Drosophila melanogaster: one gene and its partners. The protein of the gene in region 1 interacts with the protein of each later gene in a pairwise test. Each region holds a gene or a part of one and is shown on either strand. Other genes may lie near its edges.

Region 1 (3,244 bases):
AAAGTAAATATGGGCTACTGAATTAAACGTAAAAGCGTAACAAATAATAAAGCAGGAAAATTTCATTCAGTCAGTAAATATAATTTTTATGCCAGCGGCACACGGAAAAAACGTTTTATTCGCTGTCCAAAGATTCCCCGCAGATAATAGTAAATATTTGAAATTAAATCTGTGTTTGTCGGCCAGTTAACCAATTGAGTGCAATCCAGAGCCCGCATTAAAATGCAATAAATCTGCCTCGAGCAGGCTTTAACTTTCCCGATGAGAGGCCCCATCAGGCTGTCTTTTCCGGGCTCGAGTTCTCAGTTGCGAGCACAGGACCCCCTCTCACAGGCAGGAGCCAGTGGAATCCTGCACATGTTTACATGACGTTGGCCTGACTGCAGTCGCGGCTGCATGCAAAATTAATAAGCCATAACAAGTTGGTTTATGATGCGGCTTCCTGGGACTGGGAAACCGTTCTTCTTAGGGGCGAATTAATTAGCGAAGCAGTGAAAGGAAGGGGCATAAAGTTGTGCATTCAAGAAAGCTCTTCCACGTCCTTGCCAACACATCCTCGGAGTCATGGTGTGGATGAGGTAGCTGCTGAAGGTCGTTCAAATAATGGCCCATTGAGCTTACCAATTCATTCATAATAAGAAATCTAGTTATTTTCTTAACCTAAATCGATGGTTCTGAACAGTAAGAAGTATTGTAAATGATCTTCTTCTTAAGCATCTCCCAAAAGGATAGAATTACCATTAATGTAATGTCCACTCTTTTTATGCTGCACCCTCTTTTCCCATTTAACTTAAACATCGCGTATTTATTTCTGGTACATTTAGTACCTTAACGTTTTATTTCTTTAGGCATAGGACACTTTGGAAAGGTTCCTAGAATGGCAGGCAAGTGTGCCGGGCGTAATTGTAGTAGGCGTGGGGACCACAAGCCTTGTCCTCCGAGGTTTCCTGGCGTGTTGCTATCTGTGCATCCACAGAGCTGAGGGCCAGGCCCAGGAAGACTAGCAAGAAACCATTGAATACGTTCATCTTGTCGAGTAGTGCTGAATGATCGGCTGTGGCAGGTAGTGAGCTATTTATACCCGACTACACGTTGCAATTAATATGGATGCTACGTGATACGGCGTTAAGCTTGCCATTTAAGTTTTTCCGGCATTTAAATCCCATCACTTACGTAAGCTGTTCGCTCTAGTTTAACATTTCTCCGATGACCCTCTCTGTTGCGATGGCTCACTTGGCGTATGCTTGATGGCAAATTGGATGCCATCAATGCTTGCCCGAGTTTGCAGGCGCACATGAATCGTATGTTTGTTCTGGCTTCTTTCGGCACAGTACTTAACTTTGACGCGATTATAAGTCGCATACAGCGACAAACGTCCAGTTCATGTAATCGAGCGAGTTGGATACGCTGAGACAAGGCAGCATGTCTTTACTTCAATATTACGATGAAGTCGGCAAAAACTTACATTGTTGACTAATAAAGTCAAAGGGCCTCTGTGAAAACTTCCGCGAAGATGCACATTGTGTGTTGGTTTCGGGACTCAAGCGTAGTCTCACAGATGTGCTGTTCTCAGCTGTTCTTGCCGTCAACTCTGGCGCTGGCGCAAGAGGTGGAATAGTACCATGAAAGATATGCGTATGCTGCCAGCTTTGTGAGGAGCATGGTGGAAAAAGAATACTAGGCAAGTGCCCATCAGCGGGTCAAGCCACCCCAACAAGCAGAAGCGGATCAAAGAACCCGCCTTTTGGTTGGCAGTAGACATAATCGTCCCAAGGGGCGTAAACGCTTTCCATTGCGATTTTCGCACGCTCGCAAAGGTACAGGATGAGATATCCCGGAGGTTCCCAGCCACACAGTTCTGGCATTGCAGGAACCGCGTTGTGGACGTTCTCAGATTCGAAGAAAGAAGGGAAATCTTAACTGCTGAACACAATAGTGCATACAGAGCAGAGCAAGAAAAAGTAAAGCAGGTATTGTCGGAATACTATTTCCCCAAAATATCCAAGCTGGCCAATGAGATCGTGCAGAACTGCAGGACTTGTGCGAGGGCCAAGTAAGATAGGCACCCAATGAAGCAAGAATTCGGTGAAACGCCAATACTGTCACACAATACTGTCTTGCACAAAGACATTTTTTTTTATGCTGACAACAAGTTATTCCTCACTTGCGTCGAGAAGTTTTCTTAATTTGCCATCGTACAACCTACCGCCTCGAGAACTATTAAAGACCATGTATTGCGACAACGAACCGTCGCTGAAGTCGCACACGATCGTGTCCATGCTTTGCAACAACTTTGGTGTAAGCATTACAAATGCATCACCACTAAACAGTACCTCCAACGGACAGGTGGAGCGTTTTCACATTGCTGGAGCTAGCCAGGTGCATAAGGATAGACAAGGGCATAAGTGATACGGTCGATATAGTAATGTTGGCCACTATCCAATATAATAATAGGTCGATTCACTCGGTCATCAAAAGGAGATCGGCTGACATCGTCCTAACGCAACCTGATGAGCCACACGTAGATTTCCACAATAGGATCCAGAAAGCTGAAAGGGATAGAGAAAACGCCTCGCCGCAGAATAGGGTATTCGATGTTAGCGAAAAGGTGTAGGTAAAATCCAACCGAAGACTCGGCAACAAGCTCATGTGCGAGGAAAGAGCTGTAGAAGCGGACATGGGGACCACGATCCTTATTGAGGAGAGGGTAGTCAAGGACAACAAGGACAACATACAACTCACTTACTTGTTTAATCACTTGTACTTTCCACATCGAAGGAAATTCAACACACTCTTTTCACCGACTGTGTCCTCAAGCTGTAACTCAATCTGCTTTAGCAAATTAGCAACAATTTTAATGATTGAGGTGTAGTAAATAAACAGGTAGTTTAGCTTTGCATCGATTTCATTACATTACAAATGGGATTTGCAAAGTTAGTTTGGCAAATAACTCATTTAACTAAGATCCAATTTACACTGACTTGGCTTAATTTGTTTTAGTGTTTTGAGTTAGCTAAAATTAATTAAGACACTTTAGAAAATGTATAATATGTGTCTCAATAATAATAACTGTTGAAAAGTTGTATCAATGAGCTTTGTAAATAATTTCCTTTAGCCTCAGTTTTTCCAATAATACCTTTTTCTAAGAATCATTTATAAGAGTCGTTGGCCTGACTGCAGTCGCCATTACAAGTTGGTTTATGATGCAGCTTCCTGGGACTGGGAAACCGTTCTTCTTAGGGGT
Region 2 (4,944 bases), on another chromosome or scaffold:
CCTGGGCCTTTTGGAGTTTGCCCATAAAAGTCGAATTTCTCGACTTGGAGCGTTTCGTATGAATCAAATGCTTGAAATTTATGCAAATTGGGCGAAATGTTGGTCAAAATGTTGAGCAAAAATGTCACTCTTTGCAGGCCACGAGGAGTTCAGATTTCTTTTGATTTATCACTGCAAATTGTCAAATCTTTTAATGAATATAACACAAAGTAAGGAAATTAAGTAAGATCACGCAAACAGTTAACAGTGAGAGCTGCAAGTATTCGGTTCGAGTAGGGAAGCATGAGATCACGTCTTAAATTCAACGTGACACTAAAACATTCAGAATATTTACATTTTGAAATTATTCTGACTGATAAATGAGCATGAGCAAATTTTGGAGCATTAATATTTATATTATTTTGGCATTAACTAGTAGTATAAATATTTCAATGTAAATTTATACGTTTTCCAAGAAAAAATTATATGGGAATGCTCTACAAATAAATTATATTAAATGCACTGTATATTCTTCTGATTTGTATATGATTTTTAAAGCTCTTCTGAAAACCTTTATATTTATGTTTATTTTCTGGGTAACGATTATATCTCAACACAACTGTAGGCGCAGCACAAGATATCTGATCTTTTGGAACAATTAAGCCGCATCCACATTAAGTAACCGAGACAAAAAGCAGCCGCTGACCCAACTCTTGGATCTCAGATAGTTCTCCCCTCGCTGATCTACGTGATATATGTAGGTACATATAAACATATATATAAACATATATGTACATATATCTTTGCCCCTTTCATGCCGCCTGCAAATCAACGAAAAAGTTTAAAACAAACCGTGTTACGTGCCACAAGCGAACAACTATCAGATAAAACATGATCATAACAGCACATATAAAATTTTAACTATTTTCATGGCGGGCCAGTCTGAAATTTTATTGTTACGCTTGTGTAACAACAACAACAATAGCTGCAGCAGCAACAAATACAACCAAAAAGCAATAGGCCACAACAAGAACCAGTCACGTTATGAACAAATGAGTAAAGTTGAACAAAAACAACCAAGATAACTGCAATTGGTGGGACAAAAAGGGGGAAGCAGCCAGCCCCTCCAAAACAAAAAAAAAGGGAAGCGTGCAATTTCCAAATCACTCGCACAGAAAACGAAATTTATGAATGCCTCTTCAAGAGCAGAACCCCTCGAGTGAAGGTCAATATAACGGTGGGCCCATAAAAAGGTGCGATTAAAGAAAGAGTCAGCCAAATGGTAAACGTGCTGCCAGTCCGAATTTATTTCGAATGAGTGTGTGCAACTCGAAGAAGGCGGTAACTGCCATAGAACAGAAGTAACAGTCATTTAAGTTGCAGAAAAGCTGCTTCATAATAACTGTCGTAGGTCTTAACGATTTTCTTGAAATCATCAGTTGCAGTGACAAATGCAATAATTCAATATAATAGTTACAGATAGTGATGTCACCTTTTTATTGTTACATTTATCTAAAGCACAAATACCTTTACATTTCTATACGATATTTTAATACATTTTTAACTTTTTTTCTTACAGTGGTTAAAATCCTTTTGAAATTAGATTTTCATTGAAGAGTTTCGTGCCTTATATAATGCAAGGGTAACGCACCTCAATAAATGACCGTTTTCACAACCTGCTGACCATGACCATGATAGTCTGAGGAGGGGGGTCCAATTAACGGTGATCAAGGGTAAGGGTTAACTGCTAGCCCGACTTTGGTGCTACCAATTTGCGAGGGTGTCCATGGGTGAAGGTCAAATGGGGGACTATTAAAAGGTGTTTGCTGCTCAACACCACTTTGGCACTCGAGGGTTTTTACTTTAATTTAGTTAATTTTCCGGCCAATCAATCGCTGTGTACTGACCTTTTTTCCGTTGGCTGCAGTTTTCCGAAATTCGTTTAGTTTCGGCGCAATTTGTTTACTTTTGCAGTTTATCGTTGTGTGTTGTTGTTTTCTCCGGGAGTTTTTCGTTCAGTTTTCTTTCTCTTTTTTTTGGGTTGGGTAATTTTGGGGCCGAAAAAGGACGAGTTCTATATCGGGATTGCTCTTCCTCGCTCTCCTTCTCACACTCTCTCTCTCTCTCTTCCTTTTCGCTCCTTGCGCGCGCGCTCTCGCAAATTGATTTTCACTTTTGGCGATTGTCAAAAAGACGGCAACAGAAAAATAATAATAAAACGAACGGCGCAGGAATTTTCACTTGTGCCACTTTTTGCGGCCTCCGTTTATTTCACAGATATTACTCTTTTTTGTACTTTTTCACCTTTTATATTTTGTGTGTTTGCAGGGAAACGGGTTTACGTGGATTTTTTTTTTTCGGTTTTGGGGAAACAAGAAATTCCTACTGCGTTTTTTCCTCTCTTTTTCGTTTTCCTTACGTACGCCTTTTTCCTACCGACTTGTGCGTTTTTCTCCTTTGCCGAGAGGCTCACACACACTGGCAGACTCCCACACACAGACGCGCACGCACACACACAAACACATACGCACCGGCCAAACAACAAAAATTCTTTCGCTGTCTTTGATTTTTGTTTCTTTTCGTTTTTGGCTTTGATTTCTGCTGCTGCAGAGGCGAACCGGTTTTTGTTTTTATTATTTGTATTTTTCTACTTGTTTTTGCACTTCACATCGATCGGTTTCTCGTATCGGTTGATTCGTTAGCTGCAGTTGGCAGTTTAAAATTCTAATAATCACGGCGATTATTTTCAATTTTTATTTGGTCGAATTCGGTGCACCGTTATTTTGCACGCAGCCACCGTCGACTGTCTCGCTCCTTCTCGCTCGCACTCCTCTTGAGCCTGGACGAAAAAATCGCGCACAAAATCGTTTTGTGAAAATTATTCGAAAATTCGTTAGTATCAATATTGGTTTTTTCCCCGGCGACTTTAACGGTTACCGATGTGCTTTAAGCATTATTTTTTTAACAGATCACGCGAACACACATGCTGCACGAATCGCGGTTGAAAAAGCAATAACAAAAATCGTTGGAGAGCGCACTAGAGATGGCAAATGTTCGATTACAGGCCGATAACGTTGGGCTTACAGCTCTAGTTGGAGAGAGCGAGTTCGAATTCGATAAAAGAGCGGCTTCTGTTAACCGGTTGTGCCGTGAGGTTTGAGGCAGCACTTAGTTCTGATTGGAGTTCTGTATGACGGATTGCGCCCTGGCTAGAAAAATGTTCTACGAATTTAAAAATTGCAAATGCAATCAATGTTTATTATTTTACTTTAGTTTTTTATTCTGCGCTATGCCTCTTGATATCAATAGCTGCATCAGTACTGAAATAAAACACGATATTTAAAACTTTAACATTTAATTAAAATGTTCATTGACATTCCAAATTAGACATTCTAATCAGAACATAGCGCAGACTCCAACACGAAATGCTAACATGTAGTTCGAAGTCGACCGTTAACCGCTCTTCGAAATTTATTGCGCCGGATGTTGGGGCTATTTGCTTCTCTTAACAGCAGGCTAACATTTTCGGCGAACATTCGAGTTTTTTGCTGGCTGCTTTCGTCATTAGTTGGAAAACATCAAAAGCGTAGGAAAATCAAACGCCTCCGCAGAACTCCTCCCCCTTCAATTTCCCCTCGAGCACCTTGACTATTTTCTTGCACAAGTTCTGGGTCACTTGGGTATTTTTCCAGCATTTCTTAAGGTTTTTTCGCCGATTTCTTTTGGCTCTTCTGGCGCTCGAATCGTTTTTCATTTTCCTGACCCAAAGTGGGTGGTTGGGAGGTAGTGTGGGGGGCCACGTGTGGCTAATCCATAGCCTCTGTTGCTGTTGTTGTTGTTGCTTCGGGGAGCGACAGCTTTTCTTTGCCGGTCCATTGTTCCCAATTTCCTCGTTTGCTGTTTTTGTTATCCAAGGCTTATTTCCAAAGGCGCCTTAAGTTGTGGTTTTGTTTTTATTGCAAAAAACCTGAAAGTCCAAGTGTTTTTTTGCCCACTTTTATTGGTCCACAACGATTTGAAACTTGCTAATTGGCTACTTAAAAAATGCAAGTTATGACCATTTTAAGATACATCAAATAAACTTGTACCTAAATGTACAATTTTTTTACATAAATCATAAGATAAATTCCTAAATTGTACCTAAATGTACAGTTTTTTTACATAAATCATTACATCAATTCGTTGTTTTCGAACCTAAACACATTGTTTCGTATTACATTTGTCTAAGTCTACAAATAAGATAATATCTCGACTTTACCCAAATTTTTTTGTAATATTTGAAATCCTTTCCAGAAATAATCTCACATATGAAGTTTATGTAATTTCACCCCGTTTTAAACTCAAAACCATCACTCATTTGGCTTTCCTCGATATACCCAATTGACTTGATTTATGCAAAACTCCTCCGCTTTGCGAAAAACGAACATTTTCAATCATAAACGTGAGCCAAAAATGATGACGACCCCAGAGGTCAGTTTTAGTGCCAGTTCTCCTATTATGAAGAGAAGCAGGAGGTTTCGCATGGAAAATTAGGCAGTCGAAAAATGCAATTTCACTGATGCTACCGAGTTTTTCCTGTAATATCAACGTGCTCTTGCATTACGCGATAAATTCCACTTTTTTACCAATTTTCTTGCATTTTTATACGGGTGATTTTACACGAAATTAAAATAAAATAAAGAATTGATTTAGGAAATCCTGTCAAATTCAATGAGTTCTTTATGGATCCACAATTTGTTAAAACCCGCCCAGTTTTCCATTTTCATTTTTAGGTGCGTGCCAGCTTTACAGTTTGAGAGCCACATGCTGACATAGTTATTAGATGTTTCCAGTCAGTTGGGATTTATGAGCCATCTATTCCGATGCAACGTGTGCTTCTGGTGCAACATGCAGTATGCACGACACGCCCCCCACACCTCTTCTCCCCGCCCACCGCTTTCATAACCCGCACTGAAAAATGCTTTA
Region 3 (5,967 bases), on another chromosome or scaffold:
CCGGACGCTGGGCACACCACATTCCAGGCCGACGACTTCAACGCGATCCCGTCGGCCGCCGAGGACAGCGAATGCAGCATTCTGACCACCTCCAACTCGCCGCAGATTGGCTTCAACGGGAGCAGCTTCGTGGAGGCGGACGCCATCGGGAGCACTTGTACATACGCGCAACAAGACTACACCGGAAGTGTAATTGAAACACACAATGATCTCAACTACGCCGCACACGATAACAACGGAGCTCTGCTAGCCTACACATTTGAGGACTTGCCGCCTCAGCCAACCGGTAGTCATTTAGAGTTTAACACTAACAAATACGAGTTTGCAAGTTATTATAAAATGTGAGAGATATTTAAGTTTGTGTAATTTATAACTAATCTAATTGTACGTTTATAATTTTACACCAAATTATATATTAAATATGTATATGTATGCAGATAATACCATATATTCCATAAATTCTATATACATACAAAAAACGCGAGAATAAATGCTTTGCATTGAAAATATTTACGTCGGAGCAGTCTCATTTACTGCGTAGTGGAATGATCGCTGATCGCTGGTTCCTGCTATGCGCGACGAATGGGAAGGAGATTAACCTTGCGGCGATCAGCTAAGTGCTCCCAAATCCATTCAATAGGATCTCCAGCGGCTCTCGCGAATTATCTACATATGTTTATTTACACGTTACACAAATATGTTATATAAATCATTGGTGGCCAACAAAAGGGGATACAGAATGAGGCTAAACCATCATTAGTTGTTGCACACGATAAAATAATCCAGACAGTAAGGTAGTATACATTCGTTTCTCTTTCCGCGGCCGATTTCCTGGCTCTCGACGAGCGCTGATTACAAGGTGCTCGCCTCGATATGTGGGATATTGTGTAGGCCGGAGTCGGGATTGGACCAGAAGTAGTAGGGGGCGCCCTGGCTGAAGCAGAACTTCATGTTTAGTGTCTCCCCGTGATCCACGTAGTACATGAGATAGAAGTTGCACATCTCGTCCTCGTTCGTGGGACTGTCATCAATAAATAGTTGGATTAGGAGTGGTGCTAGAGCTGCGTTTCAAATCACTGCGTACTTACCCTATTTTGGTAGTCCGATGGCGAGTGCTCTGCATAGTACACCTCACGGCGATCTTATCTCCCTCGATTATGGGGTCTGTGTTGCTGGTGTTATAGAACATCTGGGGCGTGAGGGGATCTCTCTTGCCCAGCTGCAGCCACTCCTGTTCGCCGTCGCTGTTTGTCCTCACCCGGTAGCCGGAAACGACCTTTCCCAGGCCGTGGGTGTGCACCCGGTACGCAAAAGGATGCAGCACCTTCTGCTCGTTCACCTCGCAGGCCGTTTCCAGGTGCTCCGTCTTCATCGCCGGAATCTGTCCGTCAGTGCCCAGCAGCAGAGTGCCAGCCAGCTTTTTCCGACTGCCAGGATGGTACTGATTATTTTGAAAATCACGCATATTAAACGAAAGGAACTTACGGCTCTTCTGTGTAATCCAAAAACACACCAGAATCATCAGTGGAGCCATCTGAAGAAAAACACATTTAAATTTCCTTATATTGAACGCAATCTATTACTTACCTTTGAACTTATCAATGTGCGCGTAGTGAACTTGCAGCACAAGGTACTTGATTGGCGAGTTCTTGCCCACCTTGAAACCCACTCCCTCGGGCAGATTTAACTTTTGGGCGTCTCTGGCCCAAGCGTATACGATCTGTTGAGAGGTAAGTGTTAGTCCAGTAGGTGAAATTGTCTATTAGCACATTTGGCAGTTAGTTAAAGGAAAAACTCGATAAACAGGTTCAAAACTCTTATTAAACTGTGCTGACTGTCAAGGATTGACCTATTAAAACTTAGCCAGTTAACTCCTAATTATCCGCGCATTTCGATCTTTATTCATATGCCACATCAATCGTTTTGAAATGTTACTATATATGAGTTCGATTTTTGTGTCAAGAACAAGACAAAATTTGACTTTAAAACTATCTTTCCGATTTTTCCTTAAAATTTATAATTTGTCTATCAGAAAGCTGCCTAGTATGTCCGCTTCAATTTGCTGCAGATGCAACGAGAAGATTTGGCCACGGGCAGTTTGCAGCTTGGGTAAGACGTACCATCCGCACCACTTCACCTGCAAGGAGTGCGGCCTGGTGGTTGATCCTAAACTGTTTTTCGCGGTGGACGACGACGTGGTCTGCAGCGAGTGCTATCTGGACAAGCATGCCGCTCGGTGCTCCGCCTGCCGGACTCCGATCCTAGAGCGCGGCGTGGCTGCTGCGGAGCGCAAGTGGCACGAAAAGTGTTTCCGGTGCGTGAGCTGCAGCAAGTCGCTGGTCTCGGCGAGCTTCTTTGAAGTCAACGGATACCTGTTCTGCAAGGCGCACTTCCGGGAACTGTTTTCGTCCCGCTGCGCAGGCTGTGAGAAGCCAATCGATCGTCGAGCCGTGGTCGCGCTGAGCACCAAGTGGCATGCCAAGTGCTTTAAGTGCCACCACTGCCGCAAAAGGATCAGCGCACGGGAATTCTGGATCGAGAACGGTCAACCCATTTGCGCAGCCTGCCAAACTGTAGTCCCGAGTCCCCGAAATTTGTCGGCCCAATAAATGTGTGGTGTCTATCTGGGGGCCTATTTGGACATTTCTTTTTCTTTTAATACCTGGGAATTGGAGTGGGGTCCGCAAGGACTGGCAGACTCTTCTTGGGAAGCTCGGTTCATCTCGCCACAGTTCCTGTGAGCAAAAATGTGCGTGTTATTTACTAGTCTGAAAACATCACTTGCAACTCACCAGGTGGTCTTCGAGGTTCCGGGCTCTCCGCATCCGTAGAGCAGCATATGGTGGGCCGTGTTCATCGTGGCATTAGGATTGAAGCCAACTATTTAAGATAGAAAGGTTAGTTGAAGTATTTAAGGAATGAATCTCATTCGAAAGGACGTACCAATATAGTAGGTGGTAGTTGGGTCGACCTTGATGGGCGTGCACAAGTACAGATCGGGCTATATATGTACACATATATATATTTGTTAGTTTTGTTAGAGAGAACAGGCATATTGGATAAGTCAACAAGTATTATTCAAATGGGAGTATGGCCTTCAGTGGGCCGTTTGCCCTTTTTCGCCACCCTCGTAAAAACAAATTCGTATCTACGGCGCAGGTTCGAGAAGTGCAATCTACAGGTTTCGGTTTCAGGGCCTTACATGTGGGTGGCGAATTGTGTGTATTCGGGTACAACTGAACATATGGAAAAATTTGCACAGTACTCTTATGGGTTTTCCCCGCGCGGAAGATACGGGAAAAACCAGAGCCTATATCGAGGACTTTTCTAATCTGATTGGAATTGTATGCGCACAGCTGCAGCTGGGCGAATCTGTTCATCCATATGGAGCGAACTCCATGATGTATATGTATGGCGTTTTTCAGGAACCTGGACTTACGGTCTGGGGCGAAACGTTGGGCATCAGGAATGGAAACGAAGCCGTTGCGCCTGTTGCGGAGTTCGACTCGAGATTCTGTTGATAAAGGGAGTTTTGGTAATCCCCCTCTTTCACAAGGCCATCCACACTGATCACTCCGATAAGCAGGAGCAGCCCCACGGAAGCGGCTATTTCGGATATGCGTGGCATTTTCACCGTATTCGAACTATATTCGAGTGTGCACTGCACTGAATACTTTGTGGAAAACGAAAAAAAACCTTCCTGTTTGGAAGAACAATACGTTTTGTATTGCTCTCTCCGATATTTTTCCACACGTAGCTAGGCCCAGTTTATATGTAAGTAAGTGCGTTCTAGGCAGCAATCGATACCCAGAGCCATTATATCGATGACGGCGCCAGGGCTGCAGGCTAAGGGTTAGCGGGACATTCAAATATATATAACTTGTTCGCATTAAAGTACATAAAACCAAGTGTAATTTTCAACCTTTCGAATACAGTGATTTAAAGACACCTCAACGCAAAAGGAAACCCCACAAAAGCCAGCCCAATTCAACGTGTCTGCGTTCCGTTCGACCCACTGGGGAATTCCCCTTTTCGCATGCGCCATTCAATTGATTTTCTACGAGCAGAGTTCCCAATGTTTACGGTGCGCTCATTTGGTTGTAGCTGTAGGCCTCGAGTTGGAACCGCTGGGACTTGGAAAACATACGACGCTTAAATGGAGGATCAGGGCGACGTGACAGACCAAGCCGCTGGTAAGCTGAGTAGTTCGAATGCCCAGTGCTCCAGAAACCGATGTGCTAATGGTAAAGCTATATAGATGTACACTCAAGAGCGGTACTAAATTATTTACAAAAAATCGTGTAATTCCCAGATGACCCCATTATGGGCAGCCACAGTCAGAGTCGCCAGAACTCGTCCGGCATGCTGAACATGATGGACGCCAGCTCCTTCAGCATGCCCCCCCCCAATCTGCACTCCTCAAAGGTGATCAACCCGAACAAGGCGATATTCACAATCGACGCGAACACAGGGCAAATTTTTATAGTGAACAACAAGGCCTGCCAGCTGCTGGGCTACACGTCGCAGGAGTTGAGGAACAAGGGATTCTTCGACCTGCTTAACGGCAAGACAGAGAGCCACATCTCCTCCCTGGCGGAGATGCAGATCGAAGGCGATGAGGGCCGGGTCGTCCTGCTAAGTGGAAAGGTCATCGAGATGAAGACCAAGTCGGGCGGCAAGATCCTGGTCTCTCTCTGGATCCGGCAGATCAGCAGCGATGGCCGACACATAGCCGTCGCGGAGCCTGTGGAGAGGCATATTTGCCACATCAGCACCGATAGATCCGGAGTGATAACATCCGTTGACTCCACCACGGCCACCATATTCTTTTATGAATCCGTCGAAAGCGTGGTGGGTGTCAGCATTGTCACCCTTATCCCGTTTATAAAGCTGCCCGATCCGGATAGCCGTGAGATCCCCAAGAGCCTGCGGAAGCAGAGAGCTACTGGTCGAACTACGGATAACGTAAAGTTTCCCCTGTGCTTGCTAATAGCCCTGGACGAGGATGCTTCTGCGGGGTATTCCCATTCGGGAAAAACCGGTCTAAATATCACCGTCTGGGTGTTCCAGAATCTTAGTGGCCTGATTGTGGTAGATGACATAGGCAACATACTGATGTGCAACCAGCCTTTCTCGCTGCTAATGTTCGGATATGGTCAGGACAAGATAATGAACATGCATATATCGGCGATCCTACCCAATTTCGGCAAGGACTCTCGCGAGGAGAAGAGTCCGAATGTTTCGAACACCTCGATAACCAGTAACGACTGGGAGCCGGACACGGATCCCCTCGTCGTGGACAACGACTCCTCGCTGCAATCCTGCAAGAAGAGCTCGACTAACAGGACGGCGCCCAACAACGAACAGTCTTCGGTGGGCGATGCCCACCTAAGCTGCAATCTGGAGAACAGCAGTGGTCTATTCTGCGACCTCCGCCAGCCAGATGATTGTACAATAGATGACATTCTAACACCTGTAAATGCCTCAAACAGTTTCCCCGCTGACGAGTTTGAGGTAGGATCGCAGTCGCAGGTGAATGAGTCGTCCCTTGACAAGGCGAAGTCCGCGTCCACGGAGACCTGTGATGCCTCCGGCAGCAATCCCGCCACCAGACTGCTTAGTTCCATCAACGGAAGCTTTGTGGGGGAGGCCATTCACGCCGATGGCTCCGTCATAGAGGTAGTCTACTCCGTGCTCCTCCAGATACTGCCCTGCTCCAACCGGGTGTACTGCATCTGGGTGTGCCGCAACCCCAGCACTCGGCTGGACGGTGAGAAGTACAACTATGCAAACCTAACGTCCACATTCAACAGCATGGCCAGCACTGTTGAGCAGTCGCTGGGCCAGGTGATAAAGACCACCGCTGCCCAGAACTCCAGCAGACCCAATTCTCTGTCCTTGGTGTCCAAGTACGAGGACGAATTGTACCTGGGCGACTACAGCAAATACTACACGTCCATCCGCCAG

What was found.
Region 2: the proteins of Met75Cb (region 1) and Prosap interact in a two-hybrid assay, tested with the Drosophila melanogaster proteins (one large-scale study listed by BioGRID).
Region 3: the proteins of Met75Cb (region 1) and Phm interact in a two-hybrid assay, tested with the Drosophila melanogaster proteins (one large-scale study listed by BioGRID).

Annotation. Positions count from the first base shown.
Region 1 is NT_037436.4:18,468,571-18,471,814, forward strand, and holds Met75Cb (Met75Cb), read right to left. Parts: upstream 1,049-3,244; 5' UTR 1,029-1,048; coding exon 873-1,028; 3' UTR 808-872; downstream 1-807.
Region 2 is NT_033778.4:14,137,903-14,142,846, forward strand, and holds the start of Prosap (prosap), read right to left. Parts: upstream 3,001-4,944; 5' UTR 1,887-3,000; intron 1-1,886.
Region 3 is NT_033778.4:23,984,675-23,990,641, forward strand, and holds Phm (Peptidylglycine-alpha-hydroxylating monooxygenase), read right to left. Parts: upstream 3,782-5,967; 5' UTR 3,629-3,781; coding exon 3,440-3,628; intron 3,002-3,439; coding exon 2,944-3,001; intron 2,881-2,943; coding exon 2,793-2,880; intron 2,736-2,792; coding exon 2,663-2,735; intron 2,635-2,662; exon of another isoform or gene 2,610-2,634; coding exon of another isoform or gene 2,046-2,609; exon of another isoform or gene 1,941-2,045; intron 1,721-1,940; coding exon 1,588-1,720; intron 1,535-1,587; coding exon 1,486-1,534; intron 1,428-1,485; coding exon 1,089-1,427; intron 1,022-1,088; coding exon 853-1,021; 3' UTR 501-852; downstream 1-500. Other genes in the region: Sox14 (Sox box protein 14), read left to right, coding at 1-345; CG30178 (uncharacterized protein), read left to right, coding at 2,046-2,609; Pask (PAS kinase), read left to right, coding at 4,157-4,244, 4,313-5,967. UniProt on the Drosophila melanogaster protein: Monooxygenase that catalyzes an essential reaction in C-terminal alpha-amidation of peptides. Produces an unstable peptidyl(2-hydroxyglycine) intermediate.